Coturnix japonica: one gene and its partners. The protein of the gene in region 6 binds, or shares a complex with, the protein of the main gene of each other region. Links are inferred from orthologs where the notes say so. Each region holds a gene or a part of one and is shown on either strand. Other genes may lie near its edges. The genes, in order: MED18, MED26, MED31, MED23, MED13, MED19 and MED13L.

Evidence for each region.
Region 1: MED19 (region 6) and MED18 share a complex: the UniProt entries of both Homo sapiens proteins name them as parts of the mediator complex. The link is inferred for Coturnix japonica from reciprocal best matches to the Homo sapiens genes MED19 and MED18.
Region 2: MED19 (region 6) and MED26 share a complex: the UniProt entries of both Homo sapiens proteins name them as parts of the mediator complex. The link is inferred for Coturnix japonica from reciprocal best matches to the Homo sapiens genes MED19 and MED26.
Region 3: MED19 (region 6) and MED31 share a complex: the UniProt entries of both Homo sapiens proteins name them as parts of the mediator complex. The link is inferred for Coturnix japonica from reciprocal best matches to the Homo sapiens genes MED19 and MED31.
Region 4: MED19 (region 6) and MED23 share a complex: the UniProt entries of both Homo sapiens proteins name them as parts of the mediator complex. The link is inferred for Coturnix japonica from reciprocal best matches to the Homo sapiens genes MED19 and MED23.
Region 5: MED19 (region 6) and MED13 share a complex: the UniProt entries of both Homo sapiens proteins name them as parts of the mediator complex. The link is inferred for Coturnix japonica from reciprocal best matches to the Homo sapiens genes MED19 and MED13.
Region 7: MED19 (region 6) and MED13L share a complex: the UniProt entries of both Homo sapiens proteins name them as parts of the mediator complex. The link is inferred for Coturnix japonica from reciprocal best matches to the Homo sapiens genes MED19 and MED13L.

The regions. Positions count from the first base shown.
Region 1 is NC_029547.1:21,930,145-21,934,280, forward strand, and holds MED18 (mediator of RNA polymerase II transcription subunit 18), read right to left. Parts: upstream 2,584-4,136; 5' UTR 2,471-2,583; coding exon 2,398-2,470; intron 2,232-2,397; coding exon 1,678-2,231; 3' UTR 819-1,677; downstream 1-818. UniProt on the Homo sapiens protein: Component of the Mediator complex, a coactivator involved in the regulated transcription of nearly all RNA polymerase II-dependent genes.
Region 2 is NC_029543.1:3,344,892-3,349,395, forward strand, and holds the start of MED26 (mediator of RNA polymerase II transcription subunit 26), read left to right. Parts: upstream 1-1,516; 5' UTR 1,517-2,245; coding exon 2,246-2,368; intron 2,369-4,446; exon of another isoform or gene 4,447-4,504. UniProt on the Homo sapiens protein: Component of the Mediator complex, a coactivator involved in the regulated transcription of nearly all RNA polymerase II-dependent genes.
Region 3 is NC_029534.1:8,576,561-8,580,901, reverse strand, and holds the start of MED31 (mediator of RNA polymerase II transcription subunit 31), read right to left. Parts: upstream 3,111-4,341; 5' UTR 2,950-3,110; coding exon 2,940-2,949; intron 1,739-2,939; coding exon 1,661-1,738; intron 1,071-1,660; coding exon 974-1,070; intron 285-973; coding exon 98-284; 3' UTR 1-97. UniProt on the Homo sapiens protein: Component of the Mediator complex, a coactivator involved in the regulated transcription of nearly all RNA polymerase II-dependent genes.
Region 4 is NC_029518.1:51,917,652-51,922,235, reverse strand, and holds the start of MED23 (mediator of RNA polymerase II transcription subunit 23), read right to left. Parts: upstream 3,157-4,584; 5' UTR 3,060-3,156; coding exon 3,012-3,059; intron 672-3,011; coding exon 640-671; intron 537-639; coding exon 449-536; intron 1-448. UniProt on the Homo sapiens protein: Required for transcriptional activation subsequent to the assembly of the pre-initiation complex. Component of the Mediator complex, a coactivator involved in the regulated transcription of nearly all RNA polymerase II-dependent genes.
Region 5 is NC_029534.1:6,214,876-6,217,666, reverse strand, and holds part of MED13 (mediator of RNA polymerase II transcription subunit 13), read right to left. Parts: coding exon 2,634-2,791; intron 2,555-2,633; coding exon 2,369-2,554; intron 2,177-2,368; coding exon 2,028-2,176; intron 1,760-2,027; coding exon 1,586-1,759; intron 1,176-1,585; coding exon 1,075-1,175; intron 335-1,074; coding exon 202-334; 3' UTR 1-201. UniProt on the Homo sapiens protein: Component of the Mediator complex, a coactivator involved in the regulated transcription of nearly all RNA polymerase II-dependent genes.
Region 6 is NC_029520.1:7,805,308-7,809,050, forward strand, and holds MED19 (mediator of RNA polymerase II transcription subunit 19), read right to left. Parts: upstream 2,191-3,743; 5' UTR 2,168-2,190; coding exon 1,972-2,167; intron 1,831-1,971; coding exon 1,574-1,830; intron 1,507-1,573; coding exon 1,410-1,506; intron 1,328-1,409; coding exon 1,233-1,327; intron 1,096-1,232; coding exon 1,027-1,095; 3' UTR 762-1,026; downstream 1-761. Other genes in the region: TMX2 (thioredoxin-related transmembrane protein 2), read left to right, coding at 2,262-2,450, 2,717-2,777, 2,902-3,015, 3,299-3,375, 3,456-3,562, 3,642-3,707. UniProt on the Homo sapiens protein: Component of the Mediator complex, a coactivator involved in the regulated transcription of nearly all RNA polymerase II-dependent genes.
Region 7 is NC_029530.1:10,495,352-10,499,236, reverse strand, and holds part of MED13L (mediator of RNA polymerase II transcription subunit 13-like), read right to left. Parts: intron 3,137-3,885; coding exon 2,975-3,136; intron 847-2,974; coding exon 734-846; intron 1-733. UniProt on the Homo sapiens protein: Component of the Mediator complex, a coactivator involved in the regulated transcription of nearly all RNA polymerase II-dependent genes.

The DNA of each region.
Region 1 (4,136 bases), on a different chromosome or scaffold from region 6:
CCACCTGTATTTTTGTCACGTTGTACAGATAACGCTGTATTTGAATCGCCGCTGTTCATCTACAGACTCAGAACATGAATCATATTTTTGAGTACCTTGAGTGTGTAGAGTGTAACTGTTATATAATAGCTTTATTGATCCTAATGATAAGTTTTAAAAATTACAAAAAGTTGGCTCTTCTATGTTACAATCACAAATTTAAAACCGGTATTTAAAGTTGAAAAGTATTAAAAATTATGAAGAAAAAAAAAAACCCTGTTTTGTTGTTCTTTCTAGTGTTTAAGGAGACTTATTTCAGTATCTTCTGCCGTACCCAGCCCTTGGGTTGTGTCTGAAGCTGTATGCCGCTTCATACACATACACTACAGTGTATGTAAAGCACTTAGCAGAAAGCAGCTTGACTGTGTTACCGAGGTTGCTGAAGTGAAAGCTGGAATATCCACATAAGCTGTTGATGTGTGAAACGTCTCACCCTGCACTCGCATATCAGAAGCATGTTAGACAATATAGAGTGCTTCCAAAGTTGTACTTCAGCTTCTGTGTTCATTTGTACAGAAATAACAACATTAGGGGAGAGTGTGTGGGGAGAATGGAGACCCAGGGCTGAGGAGTGCTGGAGATACAGCAACATTCGTGCTGTTAAAGCATGACAGCGACTGACAGCAATTGGTGTGTTTTAGTAAAAGGCAGCGTGGTTGTACGTTTCCATAATGATCTTGAGAAATGAAGACTACTTCATGTTTGCCCAAAATACTGGCTTGTATTGAGTGAAAAAGAATTGCAAAGAAAATACAAAATTAATGCAAATAGCTGACGGGTATTTTTGAAGATATATTTTTAATAAAACATACAAAGAGCACAAAAACACAGAAATAGTGGGATGCCTGACCTTGCTTTTGTGAAACTAATGCATCGTGCTGGGCTGATGGAAGTGGCTGTAAGCAGGAAGGAGCCTCTCTGTGCAGCCTGCTCCACGTCACCCCCAAATGAAGCAGTAATTCCTCACTTTGAGATGGACCTTCCTGTGTCCCAACACTGGGCAACAACAGTCAAAGCCTGGCCCCATCCACCTGACTCTCTACAGGCACATTCGGGGGCACTGGGCTCAACTTTCTGAGCCAACATATTGGCTGTGAAGGGTCTTAATTCTGTTTCTTCCCCCCAGGTTATAATTGCAGACCCAGAGCTTCCTGTTCTACACTAACAACAAAGCTGCTTCCAATAACAAACAGCTCCCAGTCTGGATTTGCTAGGAGGGAATCTTTCAGGTCTTTCAAATCTAAAACTAAGCAATTCCTGCAACTACTCCTTTCAGACATCAGGGACCGACTATCCAATGAATAATGCACTAAACAGACTTTTATTCTCTTCCATCTCTGGGAATTACATACATTCTGCTCTTATGCATATATGTAACCTGCATAACCAAATACCAAATGCTGGCTGAGCATCAAACAAAAACAAAACCAATACATCAAAGCCTTTTACCCCTTGCTCCCCAACAACATAAAGTCAATATCTCTATTTATAAGTGTTGCACCTTAATACTGCTTACTGCTCCAGCACAGAGAGGAAGCAGTGGAGCCCTGAACAAAAGTTCTGTGTGCATAGGACTCCAACCAGTCCCTGCACTCACTTCTGGCTACAGCAATGCTATGATAGTCAAGCCAGTTTTCATCACATTAACCTCTTAGGGTCAATTTTTTCCAGGTGTACTAAAGGCTTCAGCTGCTCTGCAAAGTTCCTCATATCATCAGAAACCATATCCTGTCCGGCTGGTGCCACAACATTAAGCTCTACAAGGTAGGAGAGGGAAAGCGGCTCGATGCTGTCCGTGTTACCAGGCATCAAGATACGGAAGATCTTATACACCACAATCTTCATGATCCCCTTTCGGAACACGTGTCCCTTAGCCACGAACTCGTGATCCATACGGAACCCCATCTCCACCAGGAAATCCGTCAGGTTGTCCGAGGTGGCGATGTCCACACAATTTCGCACTAAAGCGTGTCGGTTTTTATCTCCGATCTCCGGCTGCCCCAGGTACCTCAGGTGCCATGGCATGCCGCTTTTATCCATGGATCGCCGGGCACGCAGCACGAAGGGGCTGGCCTGCTGCCCCTTGAGCAGGAACACCATCTCGTGGTCCAGGAAGGTCTCCGGCTCCATGTTGTCGCACAGCCCACGCAGGCGGTGCAGCAGGCTCTCCAGGCTCTGGTCCAGGACGCTCCCTGTGGTGGACACACACGGCTCAGACGATGGCCCCTTCCCCGCCGCAGCGCGGGGCCGAGGCAGGCGGCGAAGGGGCCTCCGCGGGGAGGTACCTCCCCTTCGCCGCCCGCCTCGGCCCCACGCTGCGGCCGAGCCCCGTGTACAGCCCCTGTGTGCCGGCCATACCTTGCAGCAGGTACTCCATCATGTTAATAGTGCCGCCCGTAACGGGCATCATGGTGACGGGAGGCGCCTCCATCTTGGCGGCTGTGGTAAAGATGGCGGCGGGAAGAAAGGCAAGGCCTGAAGGAGGAGGCGGGCGCCACAGTGCGGCCTGGCGGTGAGGAGCAGCCGAACATCGACCAGCTCCCTTTCCTCCTCACAGACATCCAGTTATTCATCCCCAAGCACACAGCACTGCCCCTTAAAGGCAGATGTAAAGAAGGCATCGAGGAACTCAGCCTTCTCCTCCTCAGAGAATCCCAGCCTTCTCCTCAGTGATCACGTTCCCCGCTGCATCAAGTAAAGGTTGGGCATTTTCCTTGGTTCTCCTCTTACTTTGATGTACTTGTAAAGGGATTTTTTTAATGTAACGGCTTCTGCAATACCAGGTGAGAAGTGCTGGTATCACAGACCCACTTCAGTCTTTAATACTGCACTGTATGCTGGACAGTTTTCCTTAACCTTTTGTTTGCTAGGTTATTTCACTGCATCATGAGGTAATCTGAAAGTATCACAATTAAGCCAGTAAATCTAGGATTATTTTACTCAAACTGAAAAAGAAGTTCTGTACCAAAATGTACACGACTTAGTCATAATACAAAATGTTAATTCTACAGCCAGTTAAATCCATCATAATGAACGTTGAGCCACTGTTTATTGTCAGTACAGCGTTACTTTAAATAAGCTCACTGAGTGAACACAGAAATAAAGTAGATCTTCCTCAAATAAAGTGACAGCTATTAACAATACTCCAGGAAGATGTGCATCCATGGTATTTGCATGCTGTCGTAGCATATCTAGCATGTAGTACGTCTTCATGCTTGCACAGCAGCTTTGTGAGCTCATTACAATAATGTTGATTTGGTGATGCACTACAAGACAACCCATATGACTTACATTGAAGCTGAATTTTAAAGAGCACCTCTGCTAGACACCCGTTTAAAAGCTCCACCACATTCCTGTAGCGAACACATCTAGGCCAAACCACTGATCTGCCACCACCTCTGCCCCCTAAGAAGATCATCAAGCACATGAACAGTTCTCCTCCCATGATCAGCTGGACAGGGTGATGCTGACAGCAACCTTCCAGAAGGTGAATCAAACCAGAACACGCCTGTGTTTTCTATATTACATTAAGAACACCTGAGACTGCTTCACTGGTCCAAGTACAGAATTTTAATACAAAATCTGTTGCATTAACATGACATTTCACTGAATTCCCTTAATTAGTACATTCCATTAAAAAAAAAAAATCTTAAAATAAATATTCCCCCTCAAAAAAGTTTAAAAGGAATTAAAGCAAAAAATAAAATAAAACAAAAAACAAAACAACCCCAACCCTGTAGTATTACAGAACAGTGTGATTTTCTGACTTCATTTATCTCAGTGTAAGCAGTAGATTCACACCTCTTCCTGGGGAATAAGTGTCAAACACCGAGAACAAAAGATAGTTTGTAATATGCCAACACACCGTGCCTTGAGAGACTTCTTTTAAAAGAAATGTAAACATCTGTTACTGATTCTTGTTTGAATGCAGCACTCCTATCCAAAACGTACAGGAAACCGCGTCTGTTTGAATTAACAAGCTGTCTGACAAGAAATCAGTATTAAAATCGTTGGGTTTTTTTTTTTGAACCTGAACTAAATGACAGAACAGTTAAGACACTGTTGTTTTTTCCTACTTCAGCACAAACTATAGATCA
Region 2 (4,504 bases), on a different chromosome or scaffold from region 6:
GTAACGTGGGGCCGGAGTCGCGTTCCCTCCGCCCCGCCCCGCTCTGCCCCTTCCGGCCCTCACACCGCTCCGGTCGCCCCCCGGCTGTCGGGCGCTCCGTCCATAAGGCCGCATTCACCCTCGGAGCTGCCTCGCGCTGCCAACGTGGGGGCTGGAGTGGGACGGGGCCGCTTCAACCGCAGCCGGCGGCGGATGGCGGCATTTCGGGCTCACGGAGCCGCGGCGCCGCGCTCCCCTCCCCCGCCCGCGCTCCTCCAGCCCCGCGGGTGACCCCGCCGCCGGGCGCACGCGCGCCGTGAGGCCGACTGCGCACGCGCGGCCGCCCCCCCTCCCGTCACGGAGCCCGCCGCGCACGCGCTCTGGGCGCCCGGCGGTGCGTGCGGAGGGACGTCAGGGGCGCGCCGTGCGTAACGGCGTCGGGCGTGTCCCATGGTGCCCTGCGCGGGGCTGGCTCCTGCCCACAGTTGAGTTCGGCCCCGAGCGGAGCAGTCGGGCCCGGCCCGGTCGCGCCGTCGCGGTTCTTCCGCGCCCCGCTCCGAGCGCCGCCGCCCCCCGCTCGGCGGGGAGCGAACATGCGACTCCGGCTCCCCGAGGAGGCCGCCGCCGCCGCCGGCGAGTGAGGAGCCGCCGCCCCGGCCCGGCCCGGCCCCGCCGCCCGCCCGCCCCGGCCGCAGCCGCCCCGCTTCGCCCAGGCAATGACAGCGGCTCCGGCCCCCTCCCCGCAGCAGATCAGGGACCGGCTGCTGCAGGCCATCGACCCGCAGAGCAACGTGAGTACGGCCCGCCGGGCCCGGGGCTCCCGACCGGCGGCGCGGGGACGCCGAGCTCCGGCCGCTCTCCGGCCCCGCCGCCGCCTCCCGCTGTGGGAACGAACGAACGCCGTGGGGCCGCGCGGCCGCCGCCGCCGCTTCTCCTCCTGCCGGGACCGCGGCGCGCCGCGCTCCTCCCCGGGCACCGGAAGCCTCCGCTGCGGGCGGTAGCGGCAGCTCCCGGCTCCGTGCTCGCCCACGGTCCCGTTCCCGGCGGCGCTTTTCCGCGCGCTCCCTCCGTGGAGCTCGGGGGTCTCTCCCCGTTTCCCCTCCGGCCGCGCTCTCCCTCCGCCCCGCGCCGTCTCCCGTCACTCCCGGCGCCGTCCGGCTGTGCCCGGCCATGCGGCGCGCGGCCCGGCGGCCTCCCCACGCCAGGCCGCGGCTCGGGTGCGGCCTGCAGGGGGCTCTGGGCCGGGCTGCGGACTCTCGCAGGGCGCCCACCTGTTCCGCGGCCCCTCCGCCGCCTCCCGCCGCAGACGCCGGGCCCGGGGCCGTCCCCGCGTTCTGGGGGCGCCCGGAGGGCTTCGAAGGTGGATCCGGGGCACTGGAGCGGCTCCGGCAGCGGGCAGCCTCGGTCTTCGCTTTTATCCTTCCCTGCAGAGCGCTAATGAGCTTATCTGCTCCTTCTGGGATGTAGAGTAAGCACGGGAGTCGACGTAGATTTTACCAGTAAGTGGTCTTCATGTGTAAGTCGTGGTAATCCAAAGTGTTATTTACTCCTTTTAAGGTTTTTTTTGGCATAGTAAAGCAGCTCTTCACATCCACGTTTACTACGGTGAGAGGACTGTGGGGTCTGCGGTCTGTCAGATTTATTCGATCTGAAATCCACATTTGCCATGGCAGTGCACAGAGCTGTGCTGCTCCCAGCTGTCTGTCGCAGGGCAGTCAGGGTGAGTCAGGCTGCAGCGTGCTGTGCTGTGCCAGGAGTGCACGAGATGGGCTCCGAGGTTCATTGGAGCTGTGCCTGCTTCTCTCTGAGCAAATCTCTCCCATAACAGACAGGTGTTGTGTTCTCCGAGTGGCTGATGAACTTACTGCTGTTTGGAAGCATCATGTAGCGCCATGCAAGTGATGTGAAAACTGAAAGATAAACCACTTTGTAATAGCCTGTTGTGATAAGCATTTGTCATGAGCTGCAGTATTACCAGCTTGAGTAACAGTAATGAATGATAAGGGTGATGGTGGGCTTTCAAGTCTCAGTTGTTGGAGTCTGTGGTCCTTTAACTTGGTAGATACGGAAACAATCTTTCCTGAGTTCTGTTTGCTCTGGGACTTGTGGCTGTGGGATTTTGGTTTTACCTTACACTCAGCATCAAGCTGGTTAAATACAGTTCTAATGGAGCAGTGGTTTCTTGTCACTTCAGACCTGCTGATGCTGGTTGCTCTGTTTCTGGGGTTACTTTCTAAAACGTTGTAGCTGTGTAGAGTTAAGAATTATGTTTTGTGATGAATGTGCTTCTTCCATGTGCGATGTCAGGTTGTGCTGTGGTGGTGGTATGGAGCAGGAGCTCTGCTGGGCAGGTCTGAGCATCAGGCAGCGCTCTGTGGGCCTGCAGCAGGTCAGTAGCCCCATAAGCTTAGAAGCAATGTATGTTAAATTATAATTCTACATACTTGATACTTATCCAGGGCAATAATTAGCGGTGGAAAAATCAGCCCATTGTTCAGAAATGCCTGTAGGCAGGGGGCTGTCTTCTATTTTAACCTCTTCTTCGAATGAGAACAGAAGTGGTGGAGTTGAGGTTCATCATACAGACTTGGACTTTTTTTTCCCAGCACATAGTAAGCAATAGATGGACAGGCAGAACTGCTGTGCTGTTTTAGTGAAAGGGAGAAAAATATGAGTTTTGAACGTTCTTAAAAGCAGATTGTGACTTAAATCTGACTTGATCTCCAATGTTGAAGTACAAGAGAGGCTGCTCTGTTGTCTCCCCACAGGAAGCAGTTGTGCAGCTCTGAGCTGCAGCACTTCTTGGTGCACAGGGAGAGTTGTGGCTCTTTTCTTCTGGCTTCTGGAGACTTTTCTTGAAAGAAGTGGTTGCATTCAAACTTAAAGCATTCATTATTGTGATTGACTTCCTTGTTTACTAAGAAAAAAGCTTTGAGGCCTGGATTTCTTTTGGACTTTTTGATGTGATTGTCGGTGCGGGTACGTGTGTGTCCCTGGAGAGGAGGGAGGGTGAAAACTGCACCAGATCTACCCAGCATGTGGCACAAGGATCAGTTTGGTGGGGCTGTGGAGGGGAGGTGGTTCTCATCACGCTTTGCTGTGGGGTGCTGTCAACTTCAGCTTTGCTGATATCTTCCCCAACACAACCCGCTTTCCCCTTGTGGATATTCAATCCAGTGGGACTGTGGAGGTCTTTGTGGTATGAGCAAATCTTGGATAAGTGTGAGGTCCTCTCAGAGAAGATCCTTCCTGTGGTGAGTTAAACAAGATGGCTCTTCCCCAGGTTGTTGGAACCCATGTGCTTTCAGAAGCTGTTCACTATTCTGATCATCTGTTTTAACCTCTGCTTGAAGCTCTGCTGACTTGGAGCGCTGCTTATATTGTACACACATTTAGCACTTGAGACCTCTTCTAGTATTTGCTGCAGAATGTTTTGATAACTTATTTTCACACACTTGGATCACTATTTATGTGATAAAGCTCTGTTTCAAAGGAGACCTGTAAGAAATAAGCTATTTAAAAAAAAAATTACATCATATTGGAAGCCACACGGGATGTCTGCTGTTACATCTCCATTTATTCAGCCTTTTCCCCTTGCAAAAACATATGGACAAACTACTTCTGCTCCATGACTTACACCCCATTTACCAGCATGGGGTCATTGGGAATGGACCCAGTCCTGTATTGGAGCAGGGAGTTGGGTGTTGTACCCCCAGCAGGGCAGTGTGATGTTCCTGCAGGGAAATCCTCCTCCTGGGAGGACTTTTTGGACAGCACAGCTGGGGAAGCGTCCGATGGGCTCTTGGAGCGGGCTTTTAGGGGAAAGGGCTCCCTGGTTCTGGTAGAAGCAGCACTTTTCTCTTTGGGCTCACTGTGCTGAGCAGAACCCCTCTGCTGGGTGAAGGCGCTCCAATGGGGCATCAGGAGTCTCATTGCCTGGTGGCAGGAATGGTGTGAGCTGTTCGCTTTTGCTCTGTGGGAAAGACTGTTAGAACTGTTCTCACAATTGCACAGGGTCCTCATCCCAAATATGTAGCAGCCTTTGTGTTTTGAATATTAGACAATAATTTAATTATTTACCATTAATAGCACTTGAAGGTGTGAGCCCAGCTCTGGTTTGAGGTCACCACCCCTCAGATGCTCACTGTATGGGTTGGGCTGCCTGCAGTCCAGGCTGCCGTGCACACTGAGCTCCATGGCTTTGCTGCTCGGCCTCTGGGAGATGTCTGCAGGCCAGAACATTAATGATGAATCCGTCTATGTGCTGTGCTATGTTACCTAGTGTTGGGTGATCTTCCAGTCTCATGGTTAGTGATGTTTCCACAGCTGTTTTCTGGGTTGGTTGGTTTACCAAAGTTCAGGCATAAAAGTGAGATCTGCTTTCACAGTATCACAGAATGACCCAGGTTGGAAGGGACCTCAAGGATCATGAAGCTCCATCCCCCCTGCCTGGCAGGGCCACCAGGCTTCCACATTTACTAGATAAGGTTGCCCAGGGCCCCATCCAGCCTGGCCTTGAACACCT
Region 3 (4,341 bases), on a different chromosome or scaffold from region 6:
CATACACGTGGCAAAACCTACAAAAGACTTTGTTCCTTTCTTGTAAATACTTGAATTAATGCAAAGTACATTTTATCATCACTCTTCCAAGTGCTTTTCATTTCACAGAGGTGTTCTGTTGCTGCTCTGCTAGTGCTTGCTGGAGGCGCATTCTCTTCCGTGAATAGTGCTGCCAGTGAAGGATCTGCTGCTCATCAATAAACTTGGCACACTGAGCATTTACCAGTTCTTTGCGAAAGTGCTCATACTGGAGCAGCTCTAACATATGCAAACACTGAGGATACCTGGATTTAAAAAAAACACAATTTACAAGGTGCACTAGAACTGGAGTCTCCAGTATCTCTCCATTATTTTAGTCATTTAGTGCCTTACTCAAGTACCTGAAACAGTGAGCGCTGTACCTTTTCCATACACTGTAACTTAATACCTTCAGTAACTACAAGGCTAGAAAACAGGGAATCCAATAACAATATAAATACATACACGGAGCTGATTAAAATAACTTTTATAAATACTAGATTTCATTAAAACAAAAACTAATTAATTAAATAGCTCTTTCCAGAGCTCATTTGAAGTAAACAAAAAAAATTTCAATAACTGAGTTTAAACATTAATTAAAAAAATGAAAAAAAACGATTCTTTGTGTAGCTATCAACAGGGCAAAAATCACTCTCAGAATGTTCTTAATGGGCTGAAGTAGTTTTGTCCCGTGATGTTCAGTAATCTTGCTTTATGCAGATAGAAGGTGCAGATAAAGGTTGCAAATGGAAAATTCCATGCATATGTCAAGAATGAAACGTTCTTTAATTGTGCCTATCCCAGACTACAGGAAACAGGAAAATTTATACTGCATATAAACACAGTGCATGTTTTGGCTGCAGGGAGAAATCAAATATGCACATGCTACTTTACAGTGCATAAGAGAAGGTAAAAATCATTAAAATGCAGAAACCTGAGGGCTTTTAATACTTACTTCAAGTATTTTGCATATTCAGGTTCTTTCCAATACAGTAAATATTTAAGATAGTTTACAAAAGCTTTGTCTTTGAAGTATCCTCTTTGTGCAAGAACTGAAATAAGAGACAAGGAATTTTTTACAACTCAATAAAAAAAAAACACAAAGGGAAAAATATATCTTAAGTCAACACTCTAATACAAGTTAAGCATAGTGAGTTAGCATATAACTTTTATACAGCAACAAGGATGCGATGTCTTCAAAAATAGGAACTTCTGACATCAAAACTGTCAGGGAAAACCAAAGAAATTAAGAATTCCACCTGAAACTATTATAAGCATTAGTGAAATGTTGGTTTCAGATATGAGTACTTCTAAGATTGAAATGTAATTATTATTATTTATTTTCTACTACAGATGTGCACTTATTCTCCACCAGACAGTTGTGTTTTATTTCAAGAAATAATCATTTCACATTTTAAAGGTGTCATCTCCTCCCTCTTCTACCTCACCTTTGAAATTCGGACAAATTAAATTATCCTCAGACTACTTTTTTCCTTAAAGATCTCTTCCCTTTTCTTTGTTTACCCTTCGCCTCTGCACACACACACACACACACACACACACACACAGTTTACCATTACACGTAATCATTAAACTGTTAAATAACATTAACTTCTCAGGATCCCTGACATTAAGTACTCACAGTTGAGGTAATTGGGATTTGCTAGGCACTGAACAAACTCCAACTCCAACTGGAACCTAAGTCGATTTCCTGTATCATCTGAATACAAGAGAAAAAAAAAAAACAGTAAAAACTGGACTTACATGGCAGATTTAAAAGTAAGTTTCTCAACTTGAGCCACAAAAATAGAAACGTTTAGAGAGGAGATAAAGCACCAAGAGCCCACAAGTATGGGCTCATCTAGCAGTCTTTTCTATTACATGAATAAGTGTTGGGCCCATGTTAATACATGTACTATTGTTTGTTTGTTTTTTTAACAACTAAAAACGATGCAAATAATGGAGAAATGCTCTCTGACACTTTATGTAGAATATATGAAAAGGGAAGGGAAAGGGGCCTGCTTTTAGTGCAAGGAAAATATAAGAAGGCAAGAAAAGAACACTACCAGCAGCTCACTGAAAGCCTCCTTGCACATAATTTAAGAAATGCTTACCGTGAGGCTGCTTTTTGTTTTGTTTGTTTTGTACAGAGATGTCTCAGTTTAGTGAGAATCCTGCAGTGTTCTCACACTATTGGTGTACAGTAGGCACTGATGACAGACCCAGGGGTCAGCACAAGATTCTGCTGTCCTATGACAAAAGGGTGAGGGAGCTGGGCTTGCTCAGCCTGGAGAAGGCTCAGGGAGATCTCACTCTGGTCTTTCAGCGTGGAAAGGGAGCTTATAGAAAAATATGTTGACTTTCCACCCTGACTGAAAACAACAGAACAAGAAGGAACAGCTTTAAACTCAAACAATAGGAAACTCAGGTTAGATGTTAGGAAGAAATTCTTCTCCGAGGGGCGGTGAGGCCCCGGCACGGGCCGCCCCTCTCTGTGGGGGCCCCATCCCTGGAGCTGCACAAGGGAAGGCTGGAAGGGGCACCGCGCAGGCCGCTCTGGCGGGAGGTCCGATCTGTAAATAAAGTCCCCTCCATCCAAACACTCGGGGTCTATAAAAGATTCAGCTCCTCGACCACAGATGCAACGTGGGATGTCCGCTGCCATGGCGTCCGGGCAGGTAAGAGCCGCGGTGTCTCCATGAACGTCGCGAAGGGCCCCAACGGGGCCAACGGCCTGAGAAGGGCCAAGCCGGGAGGGCAGCGCAGCAGGACCGCCCCGGGCCCCTCCCGAGGAAAACGATTCGGAGCCTGTCGGCCCATCGCTCCCGAACCGCCCGAACTCTGCACGGCAGGACCACCGACGCTCTCCGTGGCCCGGAGTCGCTCGCCCTGCCCGAACCGCACCGCACCGCGCCGCTCACCTGCGTCCATGGCGGCGTGCTGGGCTCCGCTCCCCGCCCGGCCTCAAAATGGCGGCGGGAGCGCCCGCTGTCGGCAGGCGGGAGTTAGGCGGGAGGCGCAACGAGGCAAGATGGGAAGGTCTGTGGTGGTGAGGAGCTGCGTTAATGATGCGAGTTGTGTAGAAAATGACCTTTTGAAATAAACTAAAGTTGGAGCAACTTTTTTTCCCCTTGTCTTGAAAGAGAGCTGTTACCAGACAGGCAGTACGATTGGAAGGTACCTGTAGGAGCAATGTTCTGGGATGGATTTTTTCCTAGGCATGTGTGTGCTTTTCTTTCTTCCCTTTCCCCTTTTCCTTTTTCCCTTTTCCCTTTCCCTTTTTCCCTTTTCCCCTTTCCCGTTCCCTTTCCCCTTTCCCCCTGGCAGCTCATGCTGAGCTGATCTCACACAACCTCTGCAGTTTATTTATTAAGAAGTTATGTCGTAGTGAAACCAGTTAAACAGATGCGCCAGGGGTGCAGAACAGCACTATGCTATTGCACCTGGAGAAGAGTTCAGCACTTAGGTTGCAGATTTATTCCTAATGCTGCATTCATGTCTGGGGTCACACACTGGATGTTCATATCTTGGTTAAAACAAAGACTGGTGGGGTTTAGCACTGTCAAGCTACCTGAGTTCCATTGCTGCTATGATTGCATTATTAGGCACTTGTGTAACAGTTTGCACTATACAGGCTCAACACGAATCCTAATTCTTTTTTAAAATTTGTGATTTGTTAAACTATTTTCAGTGTCTCAGCATTTTCCTGTAGTGCTATCTCTTTCTATGTAGTGTAACTGTTCCCCTCCAGCCCCAATAGAAATTAGGCTATAAGACCACCTAAAAAAAGACTTCTGCATTGCTTTCCTTAATAAAATAATTTTGTGTTTTGTTTCTTTTTTCCCCAAGGTTTTAGTGGTTGTGGAGTACTACCATTACTATAACAGAATTAGCAGGTCACTCCCCAGTAAATACAGACTTTTGTCTAAAAGCAGAGATCAAACATATCCCACGCATTGGCAGTGCTATTCTGGAACACGATGTATCTCCCAAGACTGACTTCAGAGGAGAGAATCCTAAGAAAGGCTTGGTCACATGAATTAAATTACTACGTAGGTTTGCCAGAGTAAAGTGCAAGAACGCAATTCTTGGCCATCAAAACTAGGAACAAAATTGAAAGTTGGAGTCATATTACAAAAACTAAGAACATTCTCTAGGAAAAGCTGGATTTATTTATGCTTTTAAATATTAGCTTAGTCAGACTTTCAGGGAAGAGGTATTAAGCTGTGTGTTTGAGCCAAGAATTTTCCTTTTTATCATCATCAAATCATAACATCACTGCCTCAGTTTCACTTTTTATAGGAGCTGAACTGCTAACCCTAT
Region 4 (4,584 bases), on a different chromosome or scaffold from region 6:
GTTGGTTTCATCATGCTAGAAGTCCAGTTGTCCAACATCCAGTTTTCCTTACAAGTCATTTAATATAATATTGGAAACATTTCCCACTGAAGTCATACTTCTCTACAGTCAATTCTTTTTTAATAAATGTGAATTAGCAAAGAATAGAATAAAATAGAATTGCTTTATATTGTTCTTCAGAGCTACAATCAAATTCACTGAAAATGAAGATGAGTGTATTTCAGAAAGAATGCCTACAGGTATCTAACCTTTAGAAGGTAAATTTTGAACTTCTTTTTTCTACTTACTCACTTCTACCAAAAACCCTGTAACATTTTGAATGACTGGAAAAAGACCTTATACATGAAGGATTTGTCCTTTACTCAAAGTTTTACTATACCCCGATCTTCCCCTCCACCGCCCCCCAAAAGTATATAAAGTATACTGAAGAAGCAAATGAAATGTTAACCTGGGAAAGACTGCTCCAGAACTGCCTAAAAGCACCCAGGCAGCTGATCAGTTTGGTTCTCTCATCTTCAGGAGTGTCCATAAACATACTAATTCAAATAAGAAAGTTGGTTATTAGCACTACAGCAAAGGAAGAGCACAAATAGAAATATACACAGAAAGTCACGAAAGTAAACTAACATTTACACTCACCCAGGAAAAGCTTCTTCTATTACCTCAGTTTTCTGCAAGAGAAAAACCTAAAGTGAGTTACTGTGAATCACAGAATCACAAGGTTGGAAAGGACCTACGAGATCATCTAGTCCAACTGTCCTCCCATTGCCCTTGCTACCACAAGCCACTAAACCATATCTCATAGCTCCTCTGTATGACTGAAAAGGCTCTCTATGACTGTCTCACTACCAGGATGCAACAACACTGAAGAAAAACAATCCTACTGTTTCAGGACTGAATCAGAAGCAGGTGCGTTTCTTCTGTTACGCTCAGGTCTCAACATTGAGGCTGCTTGCTTTGAGGATCCAGGTTAAGGCTCCTCTGTTCCCCTCCCTATAAACACCCAGAGATTATTTTATGTCCCAAGGTTGGAAAAATTGTTCAGTTCTGCAACTTGAGCTCTTCTTTCACACTTAGAGATTAAGTTTCTACAGCATTATCCTAATGCATAGGCAAAATTCCTGAAAATAGTACCCTACAGATTGTTTTGCTTTCTATAGAAATTTCATACTACACTCAGATGTGATCGGTAACCACTATGTGTTTCCATCATTACATGGAAGAAATAAACAGTGTTTGAAAAATAAAGAAATTATGGTGATCCTTTCAAATTGCAAGGCCTGGAAACACCTCAAGAGAACATGATATTCATCCACTGTGCACGGAAACTTAAGTTTCACTGCTGTCCATTCAGTCAGTAATAGAAGCAGTGAATGTGACAACTTGATATTTTCTCAGCTGCAAATGCAAGGAAAGCTTAAGACTTTGTTGTCCCTTAACAACTGCAGGCAAAAAAAATACTGCTAAAAAAAAAGAAAGGCAGTGACCACACAGTCAAATCATGGTGTTAAACATGCAAAAACAGAACACAGAATCACAGAATTCTCAGGGTTGGAAAAGACCTAAAAGATCATCCAGTCCAACCATCACCAATACTTCCCAGTTAAATCATATCACTCAACACAACATCCAAACGTTTCTTGAACACTCCCATGGTCGGTGACTCCACCAACTCCCTGGGCAGTGCATTCCAATGCCTGACTACCCTTTCCGAGAAGTAATACTTCCTAATGTCCAGCCTGAATCTCCCCCTGCCGCAGCTTGGAACCATTGCCTCTAGTTCTATCACTGTCTACATGAGAGAAAAGGCTGACCCCAAGCTCACTACAACCTCCCTTCAGGAAGTTATAGAGAGCAATAAGGTCTCCCCTGAGCCTCCTCTTCTCCAGGCTGAACAATCCCAGCTCTCTCAGCCGCTCCTCATAAAGCCTGTGTGACAATAACATGTCAAGAACAAAATGACAATGTCAAGAACAAAACAAACAAATCATCAAGTATGGACAAAAAGCATTCCATAAGCTTAACATCACTTAAAGAAAAGCATATATTGCATTTGCATTTTATAATTCACACACAGAAAGAAAAACTCAGTGTTCCAACCATTTTCACATCAGCTGGGGAGGGACTTTTTACAAAGGCAGACAGCAACAGGACAAGGGGAGAAAACTGGAGGTGAGTAGATTTAGAATAGATATTAGGAATAAATTCCTTACTGTGAGAATGGTAACACTGGAACAGGTTGCCCTGTGAGGCTGTTGATGCCCCCTCCCTGAAAGCTTTCAATGCCAGGCTGGATGGGGCTTTGAGCAACCTAGTCTAGAGAGAGGTGTTCCTGTCTTCAGCAGGAACTGGCTGGAAGCAGATGATCTTAAAGGTCCCTTCCAGCCCAAACCATTCACTCTGTGATTTTCAGTTGCATTGCTCTAGGAGACATACGCATCCCTTCCAGACCAGATACTGCTGGTTCCACCTGACATCAATCAAGCTCCTGTTCTGAACATCCTCATCAAATATCATCCCAGTATTTCTAGCCACAACACTCACTAATATCCACGAGCTACCTAAATCTACTAAGAAACTGCCAACAGAGTTGCCTTGCTAATTAACTCATAGTTCTGCTTATCTTTTCCTTCTTCTAAGCTCATCTTCTTCCCCTTCCACTATGCAGATGGATTCTTTCTCCTTGCAAGCTGCCCCTAATTCAGCACCAGCCTCAAACGCCTTACAGAACCGCTCAGAGAAGGAATTTTTGCTCTGAGGAATCGTTTCCGCACCGCACTCCGCGGTCCCACCGCACACAGCCGAGGATGAGGGCAGCCTTCCCAGCGCCGGCCTCTCCCCGCACCACGCAGCCATGGCGATACCCCAACCCCTTCTCCCTTTCTTTACCTCCTCCGCCGCTCGCCCCCAACCGCGGGCCTCAGGAAGCAGCTCCCCTAGAGCACAGGGCCCACTGCGGGATGCCGGCTGAGCAGCCTAGAAAGGCCGCGGCCCGGCCGGGACACACTCACCACCACCTCTTCGAAGATGCTCTGCAGCTGCGTTTCCATAGGCACCATAGCCCCGGCCGGGCCTCACCGGGCCCTCCGTTAGATGGACACGGAGCGGCAGGACTCCCTTCCCGACGGAAGTTCCCTCCCCCCGGCTGTCACGGAGTTCCGGCGGAGCGGGGTGAGCGCAGCGCCTGCGCGTACAGCAGTGCGTGTATGTGTTGGGTGCTGGTATGGAGGGTCAGCACTGCATCCCTGTGCCGAGGCTGCTGTTAGTTCTATCAGTCGAACGACGGATGCCCCATCCTTGGAGGTGTTCAAGACCAGGTTGGACGGGGCCCTGGGCAACCTGATCTAGTAAAGGTGTATGTTTGGTGGCCCTGCCAGGCAGGGGGGTTGGAACTACGTGATCCTTGAGGTCCCTTCCAACCCGGGTCATTCTGTGATTCTGCGTGATTCTGTAACGTGTAGGAGCAGCTCTTGCTCACAGTGGGCAGATTGGCTGGTCTATTTACTAAATGGTAGCACTGAAGAGAATTACCTACCGCAATTTTTTGTCAAACTCAAAATCCATTCCCATCATAGGATGGGAAATGGAGGCCTGAAGAGGTTGTCAAGTGCATTTTATAGCGTGAGGACCCTATCTGTTAGCTCACAGGATAACAGCAGTTTTCAGCCATGTCTTCAGCATGCCCTAAGATGTACCAAGCCCATTTTTATCATTAAAATTGGGTTACAAGGTAGTTTTGAACTCCATAAGACGTCCCAACAGTGACTGAGATCATGAATTAACTCTCATTGTATTGGGTTTGTGTGCCAAGGCAGTAGGAACTGCAGAGATGGCCTCTGTGAGCAGGGACCAGCACTGCCTCGCATCAGATGAGAACCAGCTCCAGCTGCTCCAACAGAGACCTGATGCTGGGCAGAACTCAGCCACAAGCAACACTGTGTGTCCCATTGGGAAAACGAACTAAAGAAAAGAGAAAGCATCTGTACTGGGCAATGTGAGTGAGAAATGTGAGAGAAACAGCCCAGCAGCCCCCTGCGTTGGTGCAGGAGGACAGGAGCTGGTGCAAGCTGTAATGATATCATTAAGCTTGGTAAGTCTCTTGATGGATAACCCTGTCATTTGTTTAGACAACAGGAAGAGTCTGTGTTTTTGTACCAAACAGATAGAGTTCTGTTAAGTCTTTGTACTAAGTAGATAAGGAAGTTCTGCTTGGAATCCATTGTGAAAGCAAGTATTGAATATGTATATGCCTCTGGGAAAACCTCTGGGTATGTAACACAAGTAATGTAAATGAACTGAATATCTTTTGTGCAAGGTATGCACAAAATGGTGGTGGAGCTCAACACCCATGCATCCAGACTTGATTATAATAAAGAATGGTAGCTTTCTATCATTCCAATTTAAGTTATAGAGAGTTTCATGATAGACCAGTTTATGGTATCCAAGGTTGCTCCAGGCTGGAAGGAGTCCTGAAGGAAGCATAGCCCAAAGGGAACTCCACAGGAACAGGGCTTGTGTTGAAGCAGCCCTTGGTGGGACAGGAGGGCTGTGATTGAGGCAGTGCTTGAGGAACAGCAGTCTGTG
Region 5 (2,791 bases), on a different chromosome or scaffold from region 6:
CATTCTAAAGCATCCCCCATAGTCAACGACTCCAAGACAGCAGGTGATAAGTACCCCCTCTCACAAGTCAAACCAATATTTGCTGGAAGTAACAAGATTCATACCCCATCACAAACAACTCGCACTGAGAAGAATCATAACTTAGTCCTGCAGTGAAATATCCTTTTTCCTCATTTTTGTCTTGCAAAATTCAGGTGAAGATCACAGCATATTCATGATAAAGTTATACAACTGATTCAGCACCACAAAATGAATCGGGAGACATGACCGTCTGTCCTGGGTTGCAGGATCACAGGTTAGCCAGGAGAGTGCATTGTACTGTTCCAGAACAAACCTGAAAAGCAAACAAGCTTCCATCAAGCCAACAGATTTTCCTCAGCAGCATTTTACAGCACCGGCTTAACGTAACATGGTTGCTGTGGTATTCAGCACATAAAACAGGTCTGCCAATGTTTTGCAGTAACACAACTATAGAATCGTTGCGAGCAGATTAAAGCTGAACTTCAGTAGAAAATACTGTAGTATTTTAAGCAATAATCTAATCAAATCTAATCAATAATTAACCCAATCCTAGTTGACAATGATAATTAATGCTAAGAGATTCACATACTAATGTGAACATATATATGAATGTGAACATATATATGTGAATACTAACACAACCATGACGCTGCTTTCTCATTAACAAGTGTCTTATGTGTACACAACTACCTGCATGCCCTTGGACTTCAGTATTCCCACAGCTTACATGAGATTCTGGCTCAAGTCTAACCACCCTCCTCCCATTTATGCACTATTTTTTAATGAATTTCACGTTTTTTTCAAATATTTTTAGTTGTAATCAATCTTAATTAGTTAAATCAGAGTTCAGATATTTGTATTAAACCGCAGCGTCTTGTGGTGAGGAAGTCTTTTCATCCCTCAGTGCACAGCAATGTGTTTTGTTTGCTATGTATGAAGGGCAGTGACACAATGAGAAAACTAATGGCAAGGAAAACAAACCTCCAGATCCCCTGCAGTAGTATTAAAAAAAGAAATGCACAGCTGTTTTTGCAAGCAATAGATCATAAATACCTGAGCACATCAGAAGTTTGATTAGAATCAAGTGGATGGGAGTGTTTACTGTGGAGTAGCTCGTCTGATTGCACTGAAGGCACGTGGAGGTGCAAAGAGGCCTGAGGAAGGAGGAGAGATGTGAGCAGTCAGCGTCTGATTCAACTGCAACTTCCTTCCCCTTGTTCCGCTGACCCAAATATCGCAGCCACTTCACTTAGTTCTCTAACACATGAGTTAAATAAAGCTTATCCTTATGCAGCTCATAAGTGCAGGAATCCTTTCTCCTAAAAGCACAATGCTAACAGTGCAATACACCTAAGGAAACTGTTTTAAAACTACTTCTGTGCCTACATTAAATGATGATTAAAAAAGGAGGCAAACTCCAGTGACAAGATTTCTAATAATAAACAGGCTTTAAAGTTCACTGCTGTCCCCATAAGGTCAGACTATTACATACTGAAGGTGCTCAGGGTAAATAAATCCTCTGTTCAATAAAAATGCCAGTGCAGCCCCACTGGAGGTACGGTACCTTAAGAAACAAGGGACACTGATTTTGTGCTTGAGGACACGCTGACCAGAACCAGTCAGGCAAGGGACCTGCTTTGGCAGTTGACACAAAATAACCAAGGGCCAGTGGCTGTTGCAGTATATTTGTTACTTCATCGTGAGATTCCGTTGAAAGCAATCGATCTGTACCTTGACCCTATAAAAAAATTAACAGGCAATGGTTTACTATTAGGAGACCACAAAGATACAAGAAATTACCCACAGCTTTAAAATTACAAAGCGTTTTTGAAGGATCCGAGCATTACATGGATTTTACAGTGGCAATCCAATATCTGATTAATTCAAAATAGTTCATAGGAACCTTTCATTCCAGAAAGGAAATAACCAGATGTCAGAGAGCAAACAACCACACACACATATACACGAACACATACACACCCCTCTATATTTACTCTATCAGTTACCTTGCCCATATCACCTCCATGGGGGTAGTGGGACCCTGGAGAATGTACAGGGGATCCAGTAGGGGATGCAGGAAGTATATTTATAATATCGGGATCAAGATCGTCTCCAGTGTCTAACAAGTCAAAGATGCCCATTCCATCTGCTCCATCTTGAAAAAGAACAACAACACGTGATTTCAGAATGTGCTGTTCCCATAAGTAGGGAAGCAGTAGAAATTAAGTGATTTGCCATATAAATGCTGTGGTTTAGTAGAATAAAGTCTTATTCCTGCTACAGGGGGAGCAATGAAGGGTTTCGGGTTGGTTTGTTTTTGAAACAGGAATAAATCCAATCTGCTCACCATTGTTTGTGTTGAAGGCCAGATCCAGGTTCTCAGTGGTATAAGTTGACGATGCCACTTGCACAGAAGCAGATGTGGGAAACACAAGTATGTGAGTGCACGATGTGTCCTGTGGGGTGTTCAGCTGAGATGTCTGCATGTTTAAAGTGGTGCTGCGTCCGAACACAGAGCCGGTAGATACAGAATCTTTGGAAGAAAAACATTTCCTTAGTTTTGTACAAAACAAACAATTAATTCCCCTGCCAAAATAGCGTTTCTCACATACCTGGCATAATAATGAAGGACCCCTGCGGTTCCATTGCTACCAAACAAGCACTGAGAATGCTGGGAGAGTCTGCAGCAGAGATACCACACATTCTGCACATGTCTTTCAGCCTCTTACTGAGGGACTGAAGGTTTCGGCGACTCAACAAACAACTCCAG
Region 6 (3,743 bases):
TCACGTGGTTATTTTTATCTCCATGTGGGGAAGAGGCACATCCCTGTCGAGCAATATTTTCTCATCACATGCCAAAAAACGCAGCCAAGGAGCCCAGTGCTGCCCCGCCACCCCCAGCCCCATTGGGGAGCCCACCCCGCACCGGGCCCACGCAACTTCACGCACTACTTGACTCTTTCTCTATGGCAATATCTCTCCTGTGGCCTCCGCAGAGCCATGCCATTGGTTTTTTGTTTTTTTTTTTATTATTATGATTAGCCATTTTAAAAACGAGGAATAAAAGGATATTTAATGAGTCACCTCAGCGGGCATGCGTGTGCTTTGTGCGGTGTCCAGGGATGGAGGAGTCCGTGAAGGATCCTGTCCTTCACTTCTCAGCTTTCCCTCCCTCGTCTGGAGTGGAAAGGAAGGGGACAAGGAGAGCCGGGCCCAGCCTTACAGGGCTGCCAGTGCCTGCGCCCTCACAGCTGGGATGTGCTTCCTTAGGGCACTTTGGGGCACAGCGCTCTCAGTGCAGGTAAGTGGAGCTGTCAGGGTTGGAACATGTCCCAGGACTCAGTGAGGCTCTGGCTCTTCTGTAGGAGCCCCCACAGGGGCAGCCCTGGGGGACATGGTGCTGAACTGGGGTCACTTGTGTCCTCCTGAGCCTTCTCTCACAGCCCAGAGAGCTGCAAGGCCTGGAGTATGATGGGACAGGCACAAGGCCTCTGCTCCTTGCCCTGCCCCGCTGGCCAACAGTCAGAGCCGCCACTGGCACCAGCTCTTCCTCAGAGCAGACTTTAATTAAAAGGTGAATAAAAAAGTGAGATCCCAATGCACCACGTTGCTTAGGTGTGGTAGGAGCCCCCATTCCAGCAGCGTCCGCGTCACCAGGTCCCCATCAGCCACACAGTGCAAGCAGGGGGGTTGCAAGGCCACGTTCTCTGCAAGCGGGGACCATGAGTGCCCACACCTCCCCGCTGTGCTCTGTGATGGGACGAGTCCACAGCTGGGGCAGGGAGCTCCATAGAGCAGCACAGCGCAGCCTCACCGCAAGCTGCTGCTGCTGCTGGCCTGCGAGCTGCCCACCCCGGGGTGCTCGGGGCTGTGTCGGTTCTGCAGAAGAAGGACAGGCGTGAGGCCTTGTGAAACCCAGTGCCAAGCCCTGCTGGAGGCCTAACGTGTGGTGCTGCCGCGGCCTGGCACGGGGCTGGTGCAGGCAGAGCAGAGCAGCACGCTGCCTCCTAACCTACCTTCTTTTTCTTTTTCTCCTTCTTCTTCCTTTTGCGCTCCGGATCCTCCTCTTTCTTCTTCTTCTTTTTCTTGTGGTCTGAGTCCGAGGGGGTTTCTGCAGGAAGCAGAGGAGGGGTGAGCGGGGCACAGAGTTACCAGGACACATGGGGTGCAGAGTTAGCAGGGCACGGTCCTACCTGGGGGCACAGGGTCCTGCGTGCGGCTCTGCTTGTGCTTGTGCTTGTTCTTCTTCTTGGGCGGCTGGATGTGCATGAGGCGGCACTGCTCCGGCAGCTGCAGGGGCTCATGTCAGCGGACCCCCTCCTTACCCCCATCCCCCCTTCCTCCCCCGGGTGCTCACCGGGCCGGCGTGCAGTCGGAACCCGGTCAGCATGGTGCCGGTGAGCGGCGTGAAGGAGCTGCCGCAGATGGGCGGCTTCTCGATGAGGGAGCGCAGGCTGCTGTTGTCGTGTGAGCCGGGCAGGTCGATCATGCCGGGCAGGTCGGGCAGGAAGTTGCTGAGCTTCTCCTTCACCTTCTTGCCGCAGAACTTGTTGTACGCGTGCTCCAGGCTGTAGTGTGTGATCAGGTTGCTGCTGCCCGTCAGCTCCGTGCCGCCTGCGGACGGACCGGCACCCTCAGCGCCCCGCCCCTCGCCGGACCGCCCGCGCCCATTGGCCCGACGAGCCGTCACTCCGCGCGTCCCGCCCGCTCATTGGCCCCGCGCCCCCCCCCCCTCCCCCGCGGCCCGGCCCGCACCCGGCAGCTCCCGCAGCAGGTAGAAGGGGCCGGTGGCGGCCTTGCGCGCCGCGTCGTCTCCCGGCGGCGGCACGGCGGCTGCTGGAGGCGGAGCGGCCCCCGCTCCCGGCCCCTTGTTGGGCCCGAAGCCCAGCGCGGCGGCGGCGGCGGCGGGAGGCGGCTCGGCCCCGCCGAACAGCGCCGAGAAGTTCTCCATCTTCCCGCCCTGCCCCGCGCGGGGCCGCCCCGCCCCTCGCGGACGTACGTGCAGCTCCGGCCAATGGGAGCGCGGCGGGCGGCCGGAGGACAAGATGGCGGTGCTGGCCCCGCTGCTGGCGCTGCTGTACTCGGTGCCGGGGCTGTGCCGCTGGCTGGCCCGGCCCTACTACCCGCTGTCCGCGCTGCTCGCCACCGCATTCCTGCTCGTCCGCAAGGTCCCGCCGCTGTGCCGCGGGCTGCCCTCACAGCGGGAGGACGGCAACCCCTGCGACTTCGACTGGGTGAGCGGCAGCACCGGGCCGGCCTGTGCCGTGGCCTACTCGGGTATCACCGGCGCTGGGTGCAGCCGAGGCGGCCCCTCTGTGCGCAGCCCCGGCTCCTGATCGAGGGCAGGCGGAGGATGAAGGCTGGAGCGGCCTGGAATGGCTGCTTGGCCTTGTGGTTGTGCTGCAGGGCTGCTCGGTTGTGCCCGAGGTGCTGGCTGTGGCTGTGGCTGTGGCTGTGGCTGTGGCTGTCACGGTGCTCACTGCGTTTCTCTCCTGTGCAGCGGGAGGTGGAGATCCTCATGTTCCTCAGCGCCATCGTCATGATGAAGAACCGGCGCTCCAGTGAGTTGGGGCAGTGCTGGGTTGAGTATAAGCTGCTGATGGGGTGTCTCTGTACTGGAAACAGTTGAGGGATGAGAGTGAAAAGAGACGTGGCCCCATCTCTGATTTCTTCCCTCCTTCCCAGTCACTGTGGAGCAGCACATTGGGAACATCTTCATGTTCAGCAAAGTGGCCAACGCCATCCTCTTCTTCCGTCTTGACATCCGCATGGGCCTGCTCTACCTCACGCTCTGCATCGGTGAGACACGTGGGGAAGTGGGGGGGGATCCGTAATGCAGGGGCTGTAACAGTGCTCCTGTCAGGCCTTGTCTCTGCCCATCCTGTGCATTGCCTTCCTCAAATGGGGCTGGAGCCATCTTGCCTTGTGCTGCTGCTGTCTTTGTAGCCATACAGGCTGCTCTGGGGAAGGAGGAGCCTCCCTCAGACTAAGCCTGTGTCTCTTGGGCATTCCAGAAGTGGAAAAAAGGGGGCAGAGGCCTCGCTCCAGGTGGGCGCTGGGCTCAGGGATGCTGTTATTGCAGTGTTCCTGATGACCTGCAAGCCACCCCTTTACATGGGACCTGAGTATATCAAGTACTTCAACGATAAGACCATAGATGTGAGTATCTCCTACCCAGTGTGAGTTGGCGTGGGGTGCCGGGCTCCCTGCCTACCATCCCCTGTTGACTCGCGTGGCAGGAGGAGCTGGAACGAGACAAGCGGGTGACCTGGATCGTCGAGTTCTTCGCCAACTGGTCCAGTGAGTGCCAGTCCTTTGCCCCCATCTTCGCTGACCTCTCTCTCAAGTGAGTGCTGCCTGCTTTTGAGGCCTTGCTGAGTCGGTCCCAGCCCAGTGCTCACTCAGAGCTGTGTTCTGTCTCCCAGGTACAACTGCTCGGGGCTGCACTTTGGGAAGGTGGATGTTGGCCGATACACGGATGTCAGCACCAGGTCTGTGGGGCCGAGAGGGTAGAGGAAGGTACCAGG
Region 7 (3,885 bases), on a different chromosome or scaffold from region 6:
GAGTTTGTTGCACCTCATTCTTTCCTTGTGCACCTCCAAAAGCATCACCTTTTTATTCAAGAGGATGCAAATTCAGATCTAGAATACTGCATAGTATCATCTACTTGAGTTAAGTAGTAGTTCATATTTCCTATTGATATTCTCTGTGTGGTAGCAATGTACACATTTGTGCACTGGTGTGTTTGACCTCATATGCTGTCCCATAAAAGTTTTTTTTCAGTGCCCAACAGGTGACATGGAGGCAAATAGTCTTCTACTAATCTTCTGCACTGGGACAGATAACAGTGCTGTGTTGATTCAGGAAGTGTCTCATTTATACTACATCTCCTAAGATAGAGGGTATCAGGAGAGAACTTCTACCTCCTTTGATAACTCAGTTTGATTTGGTGACTAAAAATAATTATTTACACAGGCCAGCTCAGACTTTCAGCTAAAACAAATCATCTTTGGGAGGCAAACCAAGGCACTCTCTTTGTAAGGCACAAATTATTCCTCTTCATTGCTTTGCAGAGTAGGATAGAAAAGTGAAGAAGTAACCCTCAAAGCTCTGTTCTTTTGTTGTGATCATAGGATCTGTGGTATATGTAATATGTAATTTTGTTTATTAAAAAACACGTGTAGGATATAATAGAGGTGTAAACTGTTGATAAGCATAAAAAAAGGTCCCTCTGAAATTTCATTCCTGAGTCCCCATAAGTCAAGAGATGAAATGCAAAAAGTGAGAAGGCATTACCTCAAGACATCTGATGTAGTTTTAGAGTCAAGGGGGTGAGGAACTCGCTGAGAACTTCTGGCAGGTAGTAGTTCATCTGTCTGTGCTATGGAGATGTGATGATGCAACGAGGCCTGTGAAAGTAAAATCAAACGAAACAAAAAAGAACCATTTAACTCTTTGCATAGCAAGTATGAAGATTCACAGTGAACAAATACGCCCTGAATTGTCTCAGGACAGCTGGCAGTTCTCTGTGGAACCCACCAGGACCAAGTGCATTTTGAAGTTCCATAACGATTACACTTTTGAATAAAATGACTGCTTTTTCTGATTGGAATTAAGGACCTTTAAAAAGCATCCTGAATTCCACTCTTAATTTCAGTCAGGGAAGAAGTGATGAGGGAAAACACTTGGAGTATGTCAGTGTTTCTTTTTGCATTTCAGCAATATAGGATTTTAATTCTTCAAACTCTCCCATTTAGTAGACCCACCACGGAGAACCAGACCCACCACGGACTGAGATATCCAACCAGAACACAGCACAGCCTTCCTCTTGCTCTCTGCTACCGTGCCTTCTGAATAGCAATCAGTCTTTGTTTCTGGAGTGAGGTTTGTGCCTTGGTTTACACAGGAACAGAAAAGCGATTTCATATTGATCATGTGCCAGGGGTAGAGGCAACCATGTAAGCCTTTCAAGTGGGTAACTCAATAGACCACATGGCCTGCTGGGGCAAGACCTTGAGTTTGTGCTCTGCCAGTTGCAGCATGCACCTCAGAGGTGGAATGCTTCAGCTCAAAAAGACTTAATCCAAATCAGACAGAGATGACTTAAATCTTTACGTCTCACGTGTTGTGCAGGTTTCCTAACTGCAGCGCCATGCAGCACAAAGGAGACAGCACCAGCTGCTCTCTGAGCACTTACAAGTTACTGCACGAATTCAGCCCCTTGCTTTTATTAAAAATTGTCCAAACCGTAACAGTACATTCCAAGTCAAATTAAACATTTAATTCAGCTTGGATCTGAGAAAGCAATTGCGTTGGGTTAAGGGGGAAGGGTGGTGGCTCCTTCTCTCCAGTATAAATCTAGCATAGGCTTACAGAAGGAATTCATGGAGTTGCCTAGAGCTCTGCTGTGTTTTTAAAGCTGGAACTGAAACACAGCTTTTGTATTATTACTCATTCACAAAGAAAGGTAGTTTTAAGTTTAGGATAAAACTTCATCTCTAGGTCCAAAAATACAGTGCCTTATTTTTCACATTAGTTTGAGATCTCTATTCCACAGGTTTGGAGTGAAGCACATAATTCTGGGAAGCCTCTATGAAAACGTGGGGAACTTGGTAGGTGATCTCATTTAACTGAGTACTGCAGTACTTTGCCAACAGATGCTGAAATGAACATAAAGCCTGCCACACCAACTGCAACAATCATTCTCAAATTATCAGTCCTAAAATGGCTTTCTGGCATAAGAATTGAGAAATATTATACACCTTTACTCTGATGACTGCCTGATATACATGTTTGAGAGAATTTAGCTAAGAGACTTCACGAAATGCTTTGTATGTGTCAATTAAGCTGAGAATGGATAAATAAAATGTTACTATCTTAATTACTTTCTATTTTGCTTGCTCGAGTATCCACATGACTCTATCCAAGGCAGATTTTTCACCTTTTTTCCACGCTCACTAGCTGACAACATCCCAGTAAAAAACAGCATGTCACTCTACAGTGGTGAATGAATCTGTAGTATTTGATCCAGTTCAGCTATTGCAAGCAATATACCAGTACCTCTTGCAAGAAACAGCAGTCTTCTGCATTGGCAAATACCAGATAAACTCTGATACTACAGACAACGCCATGCAACTTTTTACATCTACAGGAATAGGAACACATAGCAAAAGCTCTGTGTGGGAGTGCTGCTCTCTAACCTTTTCATCTCTGTATTATGATATGATATGGCAGAATAGGAGGTAATGCGTCTCCTGTCGTGGGCTAACTGAAATTTAGGAAATTAAAATTGGGGAAGACTGGATACAGCATTGATGATTTTGTATTTAGAAGCTGCCAAACTATTCAATTTTCAGGTAATAGAGAGTAAATGCTAATAGCCAGCTGTCTTCAGTGAATTTATATCTGGAAATGTATTTCTTCATTATTTCCAACTGTCAGAAGAAGCAACACAAAGCTGTCATTTTCAAAGGAATTGTGTAGGATCTAAATACAATTCTTCCCCCCTTTCCACTGAGAAAGATCAGCAAGACAGACCTTCAGGAAGAGAGGACACTGGTTTTGTGCCTGAGGACAGGATGACCAGAACCACTGCGGAAGATTCTCAGCTTTGGCAGTCGACACGAAGTATCCGAGAGCAAGAGGCTGCTGCTTCAATTCTTCAGGGGCTTCTCTGGAAAGGAGACGTTCCCCTTGGCTCTGAAATAAGAATTGAAGGCACATTTGTCACTTTACGTCATTACATCTCCCTCCAATAACTTATGTTTTGCTTACTAATCAGTCTTGGATACAGTTCTGTCTTGCTATTAATGAGCTATCCTCCAGTCATCTGTGAATCTTTGTGCTTTCCTTTTTCCCTTACGCTTGGGCAACCAAACGGCAAGTTAAGATCCTACGCTGTGTTGAGCTTATGGGGAGGTGGCTGCTACAGGGTCTCTTAGAGGTAATGGACTCTGGCTATGAATCTGAACAGCTTCTGGTGGGCACACAGAGGAGAGCAGTACTGACTGTGGCGATACAGCCTCACCAAGTTTACATAGCCTGACAGAATTTTCCCATTCCTGGGAATACCAGTTTGAACTGACAAACATCCTGAAGGGAATGTTTGGGGAAGGATGTGTTATGCACCCAAGTATATAAGATACCCTTGGGTGCATATCCTTGATATAAGAATAACCTGGACAGAAGAAACTATGTTTTATATTTATACTACCAAGCAGATGAAGTATAGGAAAAAAAGAAACAGATGTCCCGCTTTCCTATTTGTATCATTTATTTATATACTGTATTTTGTAGTATTAGTTACTCATGTTCTTGCATAGTGACAAAACAGTTACTAAGAGACAGGAGTTAAGCAACTTTAAAAGGCTTTACTAGCAATTTCGTCAAACTTTGGGCTGCAGCCTGTCAGGATATACATCTGTGACTGTATTTCTGCAATCTAAATC